2 linked regions of the Arabidopsis thaliana genome follow. The protein of the gene in region 1 interacts with the protein of each later gene in a biochemical or structural test. Each region holds a gene or a part of one and is shown on either strand. Other genes may lie near its edges. The genes, in order: ATHB-15 and ZPR3.

The links.
Region 2: the proteins of ATHB-15 (region 1) and ZPR3 form a complex in vitro, tested with the Arabidopsis thaliana proteins (one study listed by BioGRID).

Annotation. Positions count from the first base shown.
Region 1 is NC_003070.9:19,409,026-19,416,778, forward strand, and holds ATHB-15 (Homeobox-leucine zipper family protein / lipid-binding START domain-containing protein), read right to left. Parts: upstream 5,654-7,753; 5' UTR 4,937-5,653; coding exon 4,728-4,936; intron 4,619-4,727; coding exon 4,459-4,618; intron 4,338-4,458; coding exon 4,237-4,337; intron 4,141-4,236; coding exon 4,050-4,140; intron 3,961-4,049; coding exon 3,865-3,960; intron 3,762-3,864; coding exon 3,648-3,761; intron 3,562-3,647; coding exon 3,478-3,561; intron 3,404-3,477; coding exon 3,248-3,403; intron 3,167-3,247; coding exon 3,092-3,166; intron 2,998-3,091; coding exon 2,885-2,997; intron 2,798-2,884; coding exon 2,608-2,797; intron 2,523-2,607; coding exon 2,346-2,522; intron 2,259-2,345; coding exon 2,178-2,258; intron 2,095-2,177; coding exon 1,960-2,094; intron 1,887-1,959; coding exon 1,558-1,886; intron 1,466-1,557; coding exon 1,360-1,465; intron 1,264-1,359; coding exon 1,114-1,263; coding exon of another isoform or gene 1,093-1,113; exon of another isoform or gene 1,035-1,092; coding exon 888-1,034; 3' UTR 686-887; downstream 1-685. UniProt on the Arabidopsis thaliana protein: Probable transcription factor involved in the regulation of meristem development to promote lateral organ formation. May regulates procambial and vascular tissue formation or maintenance, and vascular development in inflorescence stems.
Region 2 is NC_003074.8:19,556,915-19,561,309, forward strand, and holds ZPR3 (binding protein), read right to left. Parts: upstream 2,410-4,395; 5' UTR 1,998-2,409; intron 1,194-1,997; 5' UTR 1,181-1,193; coding exon 977-1,180; 3' UTR 602-976; downstream 1-601. UniProt on the Arabidopsis thaliana protein: Competitive inhibitor of the HD-ZIPIII transcription factors in shoot apical meristem (SAM) development. Acts by forming non-functional heterodimers. Part of a negative feedback loop. Involved in SAM development and lateral organ patterning.

The sequences.
Region 1 (7,753 bases):
TAGAAACAAAAATACAATTTAAGGTGGAAGAGAGCTATAATAAACTCTTAAATATCAACTTTTTTTTGTACTTTAGATTGCACTATGTATGATAGCCATAATATCTATATACGGATTTTATAGGTCTTGCTTTATGTGTTAAATAATTGCTGCATCCTTTTCTTAATATCTTTATGAGGATATTGAGTTTCAAATTAAAAACAAATAACTCTTTTTCTATTATTGGCACACAATATTCATCCTAAACTAATGGCCGACATTAATGTTGTTTTTCCTTTGATTGAAATTGAATTATTTCCGTGTTTTGAAATTTTCATTTCGTCAAGTTTTCATAGACATGGAAGTATGGAACCAACTTTATGGTTCACTCAAGCAAAAATGAATAGCTCAAAATTATAGAGTTAGCCTATAAACACCATAAATATCGAATTCTTCAGAACTTCCAAAGATAAGTCTAGATTTTAATATCTCTCTGGTTATTTTTCTTTATAAGAAAAAAAATTCTCAACCTTATCCTAAACAATCCAATTTGTCGCTGTGGAAACCTACACCAGATAGAGATGGTCATGGTTGAGTGTAATGATTGTCATACATTTTAGGAAAGGAAAAAAGATAAATTGTGTGATGGGCAAAATTTCTTTGTAAAGAAGTCGAATAAAACTTTAGAAAGCTAAAATGTACTAATAACAAGAAAAGAAAAAGATCATCATTATCACTCTTAATCAAACTACAAATTAAGCAAGCATTTCTTGAGTTTTGAAACAAAACACTGTTTTACGTGTTCACAGCAACATCAAGAACAACAACAACAACAACAACAACATGACCGTTTTACAATACAGCCAAAAGGCAAAAGCTTAGTCTGAAAATACAAAATACAATAAATCTCACACAAAGGACCAATTGATGAACACAAAGCAGATGCAATGAGCATTTTCTTCTTCATTGAGTACTTTCCAAGCAACTGCTCTCTCATACGAAACTGGTCTCCCCATGCTTGAGAGACATATCCCGCCTTGAAGGCACGCGAAGCCCTGAAAAAATAGATCCTAGTAAGTCGATAAAACTAAACATATGTGATAAGAATGAAGATCAGAAAATGTTTCTAAGAACCTGTTGCATGATCTGTGGGAACTCAGAGCAAAGAGTCTTTCTTCCATTGTCATCAAATATCTTCTCTAAAGAGATGTCTTGAAGAGCAACTAATGTAGTCTCCAGCATGTCAAGTCCCGCCTGGTTTGCAAATGTGAAGACGGGCAAGGCCTAACCGATGTTCAAATCCCAAAACAGATCAGCGAATACACGAGTCAAGTACTCCTATCGAATACACATTTATGTGTTTAACATTGTGTTTGTTACCTTCATTGAGCAGCAGATTATAGCATCAGTGTGATGCCAAAGATTCTTAAGAATAGATTCATTGCCGTCACTGTTTGATTTAAGTAGCTCAACACCCATGTAGCCCCTATTATCAATGGGTAAATGAGTCATCTTAGTAAACTAAACATTGTTGATTTGGTGGGAAAATTAGAACATATTTGATAGTTTGGTTTATACCTGTAACTCTGGCAAATCCAACGAGCAAGTGTTTGGGCTTCAGGAGTACCCAAAGGAGTGCGTAGACCAACTTGTGAGCTGATATGAGAAGGAGAAAGAGCCAATGCTACTCTCTGCACCGATGATATGATACCTCGAACATACTGCCTAGCCATGGATGCTACATGTTCTTGCATATGGCTCTCGATACCAAACTCAAATGCTATTGTCATCACAGATCTTGCACATGTGGAGTTTCCTGATTGATCAGTTGAGGCTTTTGTTCCAGCTGAACCAATTTCCAGTGCCGAAGCAAGATCCAAGGTTCGGTTTGGGCTAGATACTTCCTGCTTTTTTGGTTCAAGAAAAGCTTAAGAATCTGAATAATAGAAGACTTGGACAGAAAACATAACTTTTATTTACCTTTGCGGAATCAAGAGGGATAATACGAAAACCAGAAGGAAGCAGAGGTGCATCATCCGCAAACGAAGCATCGATTGGAGCAAATATAAGTTCCGCACAGGTTCCTACAGCATTTTCATCCATTCCGCTACAAAGCTAATAACCAAAAAAAAAATTATTTCAGGTACTAGAGACCAACATTAAAACCTTATGCAAAATAGACAACCTAAAGTACTTACTTGAAGAAGGAAGATATCTCTTGGAACGATTGCATCTTCAGGGGAATGACCAAGACCTTCCAATTTGATGACTTCCATAAACTGAATGAAAAAAAACCAACCATTATTCAACTTATATTATGGAGATAAAAGAAAAACATTAAGTTCATCGAAGAAAATTAAACTAACCTCTTCATGCTCAATAGTATGAGCAAGTGGAAGTATAACCTGCCCTCCAAATCCTCCAACTCGGGCACTACAAGGCCCTACTTTAACTGCTGCTGCTAGATACGCATCAATGTTGTTGTCAGCCCATTCTGACCTATGCTCCCTCAGAAACCGAAGCAGGATCGCCGGAGGAACATTCTGTAGGTGCAAAATCCCATAAAAAGAAGGTGAAAAAGTGTTGAAACAATCATCAGTTGATCTATAAAAAAAATGGTGCACTGACCTGTAAAAGCATTGATGCTTTTGCGCATAAAACAACATTGCTTACAGGAGCAAAGCCATTGGCAAATGTAAGATTTAGACCCATTAGCTTGTCTGGAGAAGAGTTTACAGTGATTGTGACATCATCCATGCTATCTCCTATCACTGACCATCCTTCATCAGTGAAACCATTTACAGCTTCATTGAAGCCTCTGTAGGGAAAAATTTTATAAGAAGAGGCAAATATAAAGGACACAAACCCACCAATAAGAAGAGGCAAATCGTAATTGTATATAAACCTGCTTAGCCTCTGGCTGAGAGCTCTTAAGGCAGCAGGACGCCGTCCCCACCCATTAACACTACTATTAGTCTGAGTAACCTCCTGAGCTATTTGCTTGAGCTGACGCAGTGCCTTTGAGACAAATTCGATTTGTATGCATCATTTGAGAACAGTAGTTTCAATATCAGAATGAGCTTTAGGGAATAAATGAGTTTAATTAACATACCGCCATTGTTGTCTTCTGTGCAAGTACTTTGGGTGACTCATAGAGCGGGCGCAAGACCTCAGGCACGCTACAAGCCTATTTAAGTGAACAAATATCCAAACAGTTTGGTTAACATTTCCAAGACCATTAGAATTGGTGCAGAGTGAGGCTCGTTACCTCCAAATCCATATGATCCACTATGTGTATGATTGAGCCACCACCATCACAAGGCCGTATCAAGTACCCACTGGAAAGCATCTCTGCTCTCACAAAATTCTGAACCAGTGGCATACTAGGACCATTTTGAGTGCTCTTAAGAGATCTCTCGCACACCTATAAGATTTCTTAAACCTTGTGAAATGGATCAACATGAATAAGAACACTGACAGAAAAGAAAAGCTACATACCACAAGGCTGCCATCTTCTAAAACAGAGGTGTAACGTAACAGCCAGAAATCGCGTGGTGGGGCCAATGTAGTTGGTGCATAGAGCTGCAATTACGAAGAGGATGATGGTTACTATTTTCAACTTTAGAAAAATAATTCTAACTGTGTAGCACTTATGGTTTAAAACTAACCTGCATATAAAGCAGCTCAACGGTTCCACCATTGGCAGTTGGCAACACGTTCATAACTTCAACAGCTCGACATTCGCGGAACCACGAAGGACGATCCTTGACAATCTCTGCAACCTGTAAAATAGTGAAAACAGATGAATGTTGTTACATATGTAGACACATGTAGAGTAGTATAAGATTGTATAAATCAGCGATGAGAATGATTCTATAAACGCACCCTTGTAGGCTCAAGACCCACTAGGCCACAGGCGCGTGCTGCCACACCAGTGCAACCATGAGAAATAGCGATGATTCCAATGGAATCCGGACCAGGCTGTTACGGAAAATACAAAAACAACCATTGAGGAAAAAGCAGAATAACTATATCCAATTAACAAAAACAAAACTAGAGGAATAAAATACCTTCATTCCAGGCATCTGAACCCACTCAACAGCGGTTCCAGTTGCCTTTGAAAGAAACTCTGCTAAAGTTTCTTCTGCAATGGACAAAAGTCTGAAAACATAACATGTATCAATGAATCTCAGAAAAATATGACAAAAGTGTAGTTTTTAACTAACAGAGTAACCATATTCCAATTAAAGAACCAACCCTGCAGGACTAGCATCTCTCTGAGGATTTTGAGATGCCAATTGGTGCTGACCACTCGTCACCACCGATTCACAGCTTGTGTCTTTAGCTGGGAGTGAAGGCTGAAAAAAAAAGACAAATCGATACACATACCATTAAAAGGATATTATTATTCTTAAAGAAAACATTCTAGTGATTATTAAGATAAGAAAAATGAAGATATTGCAGGAGTAGAATCCTCACATTTGGAGTATGTTGACGGAAGTAGCTGTTTTCATGGACCAGCTGTGACACTTGCTTCTGCAACCTGTCATTCTCCTCCATCAAGAGCTTGTTCATTGCCGTCAACTTCCGATTCACAGCTTGAAGCCGTGAAGCCTCTTTCCTTTGTTTCTCTCTACATCTAAAGTTCATAACAGAAACACAAAACAAAGATTAGATCAAGTAGATAGAGAGAACACCACAGAAACTTCCATTCACTACAATTCCCAAGCAAGGAACATTGTTATTACCTTCGGTTCTGAAACCACACTTTGATCTGTTTAGGCTCAATGTTAGAGAGAATAGGACACTCTCTGATCAACTGCTGACGGCGAATAGAACTCGGTTTAGGACAGTCATGATAAAGCCTCTCAAGTGCTTCAACTTGTTCAGGTGTATACCTCACATACTTCCCATTATCCAAACATCCCAACTTACCATCCTTGCAAGACATTGCCATTACTCCTCAGCAAAACTCTTCTTATTTCACAATCACAGAATCTCACAAATGACCCTACTACCCCCTCCAGATGAATAACTAAATCCTTCTAAACAGAAGATAACCACAACATACTAAACAAAGGAGACAGAGAGCTTCTTAGTCCACCACAAACTCCACAGCTTGAACAACTACCAAATCTAAGCCATCTCAAATCCTAAGCACTTGGAGTAGCTTCACAAATCACATTACCGCATAAATATCGAATTCTGTTTCCTTCAAAACACACTAGAGGCTTTTTTTCTTCATGCAATCTCAAAAGGGCACACAAAGACAAAACCTATCCTTTATATTACTCCTCGGCTTTTATGAGCTAAATACCAAAACACAAGAAAGAAAAACAGACTTTAAGATTACAACTTTCCCTTTTACAAACACCGAAAAAAGATTCGACCTTTTCTCTGAACACACACACCTAAAAAAACAAGAAAGTTACAAACTTTTTTATATTTGCTCGTGACTATAACACAGAATCACCGAGTTGACTCAGCCATTAGAAACCCCGATTCCACCTCGAAACGAAGCCATAATATTATCAGTTCTCAAACCCATATTCTCCTTCTTCGAGCTCTCATTGAAATAAAAATGAAAACTTTAGAGAAAAGAAAAACCCTAGAAATTTATTCGAAGAAGGAAAGAGGAAAGAGGAAAGTAGAAGAGAGGATGAAGAAGAGATGTATGTAGAAAACGAATCATGGAGCTACTGTACTGTTTTGTTGTTTTTAGATGTTATCTACTTTGTGTGTTTTTTTTCCTCTAGCTCGTTCATGGCAACTTTGATTTTTTTTTTTGGCCTTAAAATAATAATATTATTTTAATAATGTGATTTGATAGTGCTGTTGCGTTTGTGAAATTAGCTTTTTCGTTGGCATTTTCTTTTGTTTTTTTTTATGATTGGCACATTTCAATTTCATAAACCAACAAACAACAACACCTCGAGGGAAAACCAAATTTCTCTTGTTTACTCTACGAAAATGGTCTAAATAGGTATAATTGTCAAAAAAATTGTTCCAAAAGGTTAAAAAAAGGTTAATTAAAGCTTAAAACATTCTCAAATATATAATCAGTGAAAATTGTAAACGAGAAAAAGGCAGTCAAATTGAAGAGAAAGGCAATCAAATGCTTATACTAGTGTAATAAATTTTATTTTTTTGCTATTTGTGAAAATTACCTATTGTTATACTATAGTTTTTTTATTATACTATAGTTTTTATATTTATAAATAAAAAAATTATGGTCATGCAATTTTCTTTTTTTTTTTAATATTTGAAAATTCAGACTCAAAAACACTCGGTTAAATTCATCTTTTATGGAAAAGAGATTCATCCCAATATGTTTCGAACTCAGCACTTCCACCTAAAAGATTTATCACTGAACTAACAGCACATTGATATGGTCATGCAATTTCTTCGATCTAATCATGGAAAACAACATAGATAATGTTAACGTTTAATGTTGTAATGTTTGTGACTAATCTCTAACGGATGCTAATCTTATACTCCTACATTTATGCCCACAATATGAAATTAATGAGGTTTATACCAATAAATATTACTACTTCTAAGTTTTAACTAGTAGTAAACGAGTGGTAAAAGAGTGAATAGGAGGGTAATAAAGGTAAGAAGGAATGGGGAAGGTCAGAGGCGTATAAAAAATAACAAAAGGCGTGGGAGAGAGGTCTGCGTAGGAGACAGAGACAACATCATTACCTTCTTTGCATGCGTCTCCTCCGTCTTAAAGCTGAAGCTTCACTTTCTTTCTTTCCTTCTTTCTTTTTCTCTATTCTCAAATTTCTTTCTTTTATTTTGTCAACTCTCTTTCAAATATTTTAATTTAACTAGTACTATTCCTTCATTTTCCCAATAATGCCTGTAAAAGAATTGTATTATACTACTGATTTGAATTGTTCATCATGATGAATTCAATTCTTCTTTAAGTGGTTTCAATTCAAGTCTTAACTTTTTCAATTACCAATATATTTTCATTATAGAGTACGTACACACAAAAAAGTGTAGAATTGACTGTTTTAATTAAACGTTGGACCGCTATCTTCATATCGGGCCTAAATTCAGCCCAGTCCATTATGTATCACGGCTGTTGCAATTGGTGGACTTGTTTCATATAGGCTATATAGGTCACTGATATTCAATCTGTCCACTGATTGTTCTATTTGGAAAAATAGAATGATTAATTTCGTTTGTTTTTTTACTCATAACAAAAAAAGATTGCTATATTTGCAGGAGATTTTTCTACTGGTTATAGTTGATTGCTTGCTTCGGTTCATGCAACTGCCAAATTAGTGAAGCAATCTCTCTGCTTTTTCAAGATTTAGCTTCTGGTGTATCTACATTATGGCCTGTATACTTTGGAAGATGGATCAGATCTTTCGTCAGATGCTAAATCTTATAAAAGAAATGTTTTTCCATAGTTATGGAACGAATATCACTGTTCGGCAAGTCAGAATCAAGCGGACCCTTGACCCAAATGAAACTAGGAATAAATTCATTATTGTAGTCAAAATGGAGGTGTTCTTGTTGCTTTGCTTCAAGATCCTTTTCTCTAATGATCTCAAAGCTCGTCGACTTGATGATCTGATGTTAGGTGTTTAGACTTAGAGGTTTAGCATAGCTGAGATTTAACATCAAATGTTATTCTGATCAAATTAACATTGTTAATTGTTATGGGAAAAAAAGACATTTGTTAAATGTAGATTGTAGTAAACCTAAATGGATAATGTTGATTACATATAAACATTCTTAAGAAATAGTGACATGCTTG
Region 2 (4,395 bases), on another chromosome or scaffold:
TCATAACAAAAAAAAAAAAAAAATAGATATACACATTTAGAGAGTGACTGGAGTTTATAATTCATATTCAAACCCAAGAGTGTGTGTAAATTTGACGTAGCATCAATTTTGGTCTATTTAAAGCTATAGTATTCTGATATTATCCATTCTGAGGTTTTATCCAGTATTACTGTTGTTGAAGGAAATGATTTACATGACCAATATTATCAACAACTGGTTTGAACCATAATAATTAAATTGTTCAGATGCACATGGCATAATAATTAAATCATTTCAATTTAGAATGTTAGGATAAAGCTTTCATTGAACTTGCTACAACACATGTAGACTATATATACACAAACACTACTATTAATATTGTTTTTCTTCCTCATTTCCTCTACTCTAGTCTACTTGAAAATTACATAGACCTATTTATACTTAAGAAGTGTTTGCTAATCCTGATGAATAATTAGTGTCAATTCAACGATTCAGTTTCCACTTACTGTCTTACTCGATCGGAAAATATCATGGACAAAATGGGTCACTTTTGTTTTTGTATGAGATGATATATCAATATTGAATGCGTTTTGTATATGATTATAAAAATCGAATAACTTGTCCCCATGTTATATACGATACATTAGTTGATTGATATGCACTTGACAATATTTGATAAATGGAGCAAAGGTACAAAATGTTAGTCCAAGAATCAACCATATCCTAAAGTCCCCAACCCCACACCAGAGGATCTTTAATTAACATAGAAAATAGAAACAAAAGTAAAAATATGACTGAGAAGACTAACAGAGAGACACTGTCTTCTTGTAATAAAACAGAATCTTCTTTTCATAATAACTACTACAGTGCTCGATACTACTTATCTTCCTATAATACACCAAACAAAATAAAATACTTCCAAAAGGTTGGGTCTTCTTTTAATCTTCTCCTACGTACGGATTCGAGATCTCTTGCTCTAACGTATTCTTGATTTAAATCAAGATTGTCCAGAAGCAGAGCTTGATTTGTTGTCATTGTTTGATCCATTGTTAGAGTTCTTAGTTTTGGAGAGTTTCTGTTTGAGTTGAAACAAAAGCTGTTGGTTCTCTTGATTCAGAAGCTCAGCTTTCTTCCTTAGTCTCTCGTTCTCTTTCATTATGTAACAGTTTTCAACAAACAGCTTCGAGTTTAGCCTCTCCATTTCTGCTTTCTTGCTACAAGTAAAACAAAACAAAAGTATTATTACGAATTTTGAAAAATAAATGAGAAAAAGAGAGTAATAATATCAATAAAACCAAAGCTTGTGTTATGATTATTATTGTTCATGTTAAATCATTACATCACACATGGGTTGTGCAGCTTCACACGTCGGATGTGAATTACATTAGCTATAGGAAAAATCATTTGTCGCATTTATTTCGTTTTCATGTGAATTTCTTTTTCTTCTTTTTATGAAATCAATGATCAAAGAGAGAAGAAGAACATGATTATAAATTTGTATGGAGGATAAAAAGATAAAGCTAATAAAGAGAAAGAAATTGAAGAAAAGAGATAAAAACAAGTAATCATGATGATATATATGCAGTAATTATAAATGTTTTAACCTCTATGGACAGAGAGAGTAATGATTATATTTGAAACGCTAGAAAAAAACAGAGTAAGCAACAAAACAAAGATGGTGATCGTAGCAATACAGACTATTAAAAAGAAAAATCAAACAATTTTTTTTATTTATTTCGGTTGCCTCAAAGAAAAAGATAAAGATTAAAAACTTTCCATCATTGAGGAATATTTTAAAAGATGAAAAAGTTTTAACATAGAAAAAGAGAGAAATTAAGGGTTTGTCTTCACGTTAGTTGTACGTGTGACGTTACTACATAACTATTATCTTAACGTATGAACGCAAAAGCGATAGATAACAGAGCAAGAAACAGAAACAGAGCATGTCGAGAAAACTCACGTTAAGCTTCTAGAACAGTAAGAGAGTGAGAGAGAGAGAAGGAGAATAGAGGTTATACCTTTTGGGAAGGAGTGTTGAGAAGCAGAGATAACGAAGAAAGATTGAGAGAGAGAAGAGAGACGCTAGTTTGTGTGTGTAGAGAAGGTAGAGGGACAAAGAGAACAAAGTGAGACACTGTCTGTTATATAGATCCCCAAAAGCTAAAGAGAAAGAGAAAGAACCTTCTCTCTCCTGACACAACAATCATGCATTGTGTTGTGTTTCTGCATAGATGGCGGCCGCAAGAAGAGAGAGAGAGAGAGGAGATTTGTGCATATTGCGTCATGTGAATGATGATGATTTATTAAAGAGAAAGAAGTTAGAGAGAGAGAAGAAAAAAAAAAGGAGTTTTCTTGCTTGCTCTTCTTTCGAAATTGATCTTCAGGGATATTTTCGTAATTTCCGAAAGATCCCCTAGCACTTCCTTTGGCTCTTCATCGTATTCGTCCTCTAAACAGAAGATTCGGTTAAAAGAACTAGAGTAAGGGTATTTACGTCATTACGAAGGAAGTAGTACAGAGGAGGGTAATATTGTCATTTGTGTAGGACTAATGAGAGGGGCTATAGTAGAAGAGGCCATCGACCTCTAAAGATTCGCAATGATGGTAAAGATTGGTTCGAACCATCATCCTTCATGATTCTATTTCAACCGTTTTGGACCATTTTGTAAATGCTCTCTTTCCCCATCTCATGTCCCGGTTAGCTCAATCTTGGTTTAGTTCAAATATTACACTCCACCATTATTATGTTTTAGATTATTATTTCGGATACAAATAGTTTCCTTTGTGTGTTAAACTATTTGTTACTTTTTTCTTTGTATGAAAATCATAGTATACCACAATTTGAAAATGCATTTTTTTGTCCTCTTATATTGTCTCAGCATTCAAGATTTGATATAATTATGGTGGGAGAAGAAAAAAAGAAAGAAATAATGAAGAAGAAGAGTGTTTGGACTTTGGAGCCGTAAAACCTACAAAAAATAATCATGGATCAAAAGTGTTGTAGAACGTGAAACATCATAAACAGTGAGGTGGTTGTTTTTGGATGTATTTATGACTTCTCTTTTTTTCGTAACTTCACATGCCTTTGAATAAAACTCGTTCGTTTGCCCATGACTTAACCCCCAAAAAGAAGATGACTACAATTTCACGTTTATTTAAAACTACTTTGGCTTGTGTATATAAATCTTGTACGGCTTCTTTTAACCCTTCTTTCACGGAATAAATGTGAGAAATTGTGTTTTTTGTAAATATGCTGATTGTAGAAGTTAAACAAAACTGAAACACAATTAGTATTAAGTAGGTGTGTCTTGAAATGGAACTAAAGAGTGGGTACACTTGCTTACACCAAAGGCAATGATTTTAAAGGTGTGAGCAGCTTCATTTCTTGCTGGCCTATGCAATGCCGTTTCTACCCCTCATTGCTTTGGTCTAAGTTTGACAATTCGGTTTGGTGTTGATTTTTATTTATAAAATGAAACTTTAATTTATAAATATAGTTGGTTCTAGGATTAATTTTGGTTAATCATAACCCAGTCGGACCAATTTTCACACCCCAAAAAGGTTGAAAACTTTGTCTCTTTACCATGTAAATTTCAAAAACCTAAGAATATTCAAATATTCGGTTTTGGTAACCCCTATTAATGTAGTAAATGTTTGGTATAGAATATTAGATTACCATTCAGAGAAACTATATTTCGCTTTTATTAATTAATTGGAATTTTCTAGTTATTTTCTCCTTTGTTAATCTAACCTAATCTTTTTTGAACTTTATAATATAAACACAAACGAATTAAAAAAATATACCGTAATTTAACTGATTAAAAGTCTATATAAGTTTGTGTTTATATGACGTATATTTCATTTTGCTACGTACTACTGTATGTATACATTCATGTTGTATGATGGAGCATGCCTCTTTTGCACAAGAAAAGTACTGAAATCTCTTTATTTGAAGGAGTCCACATCCACCTCGAAGGCGATGTGCGCAGTGGTTCGATTGCTATACCCGAGATTGATTTACCGGCGATTGATGTCGCATCATCTGCTGCGTCGGTGGTGGCGGAAGAGTTAGGTAAATCAAATCTCACATAAATGATTCTCTGTTCTATTCTCCATTCTTCGTTCTTCTGATTGTTTTTTTAGGTTTTTGGTGGTTAGATGTTTGCGCCAGACGATTCAGAATTCATAAGGTGTAAAGTGTGTTCATATTAGACTGCATGCAAACATTATCATTGCACATCTTAACTTTTAAATAAAGGACTACTACAGATGTTTGGATGGACTACTACAGAAGTAATTTTCATTTAAATATGGATAAATATCGACGCTCACGATTCAACAAGCAAATCTAGTTTGATATGAATTAGCAATATGCAAAAAGTGATAAGGATTTGAAAAGTTGAAAAGCAACAAAGA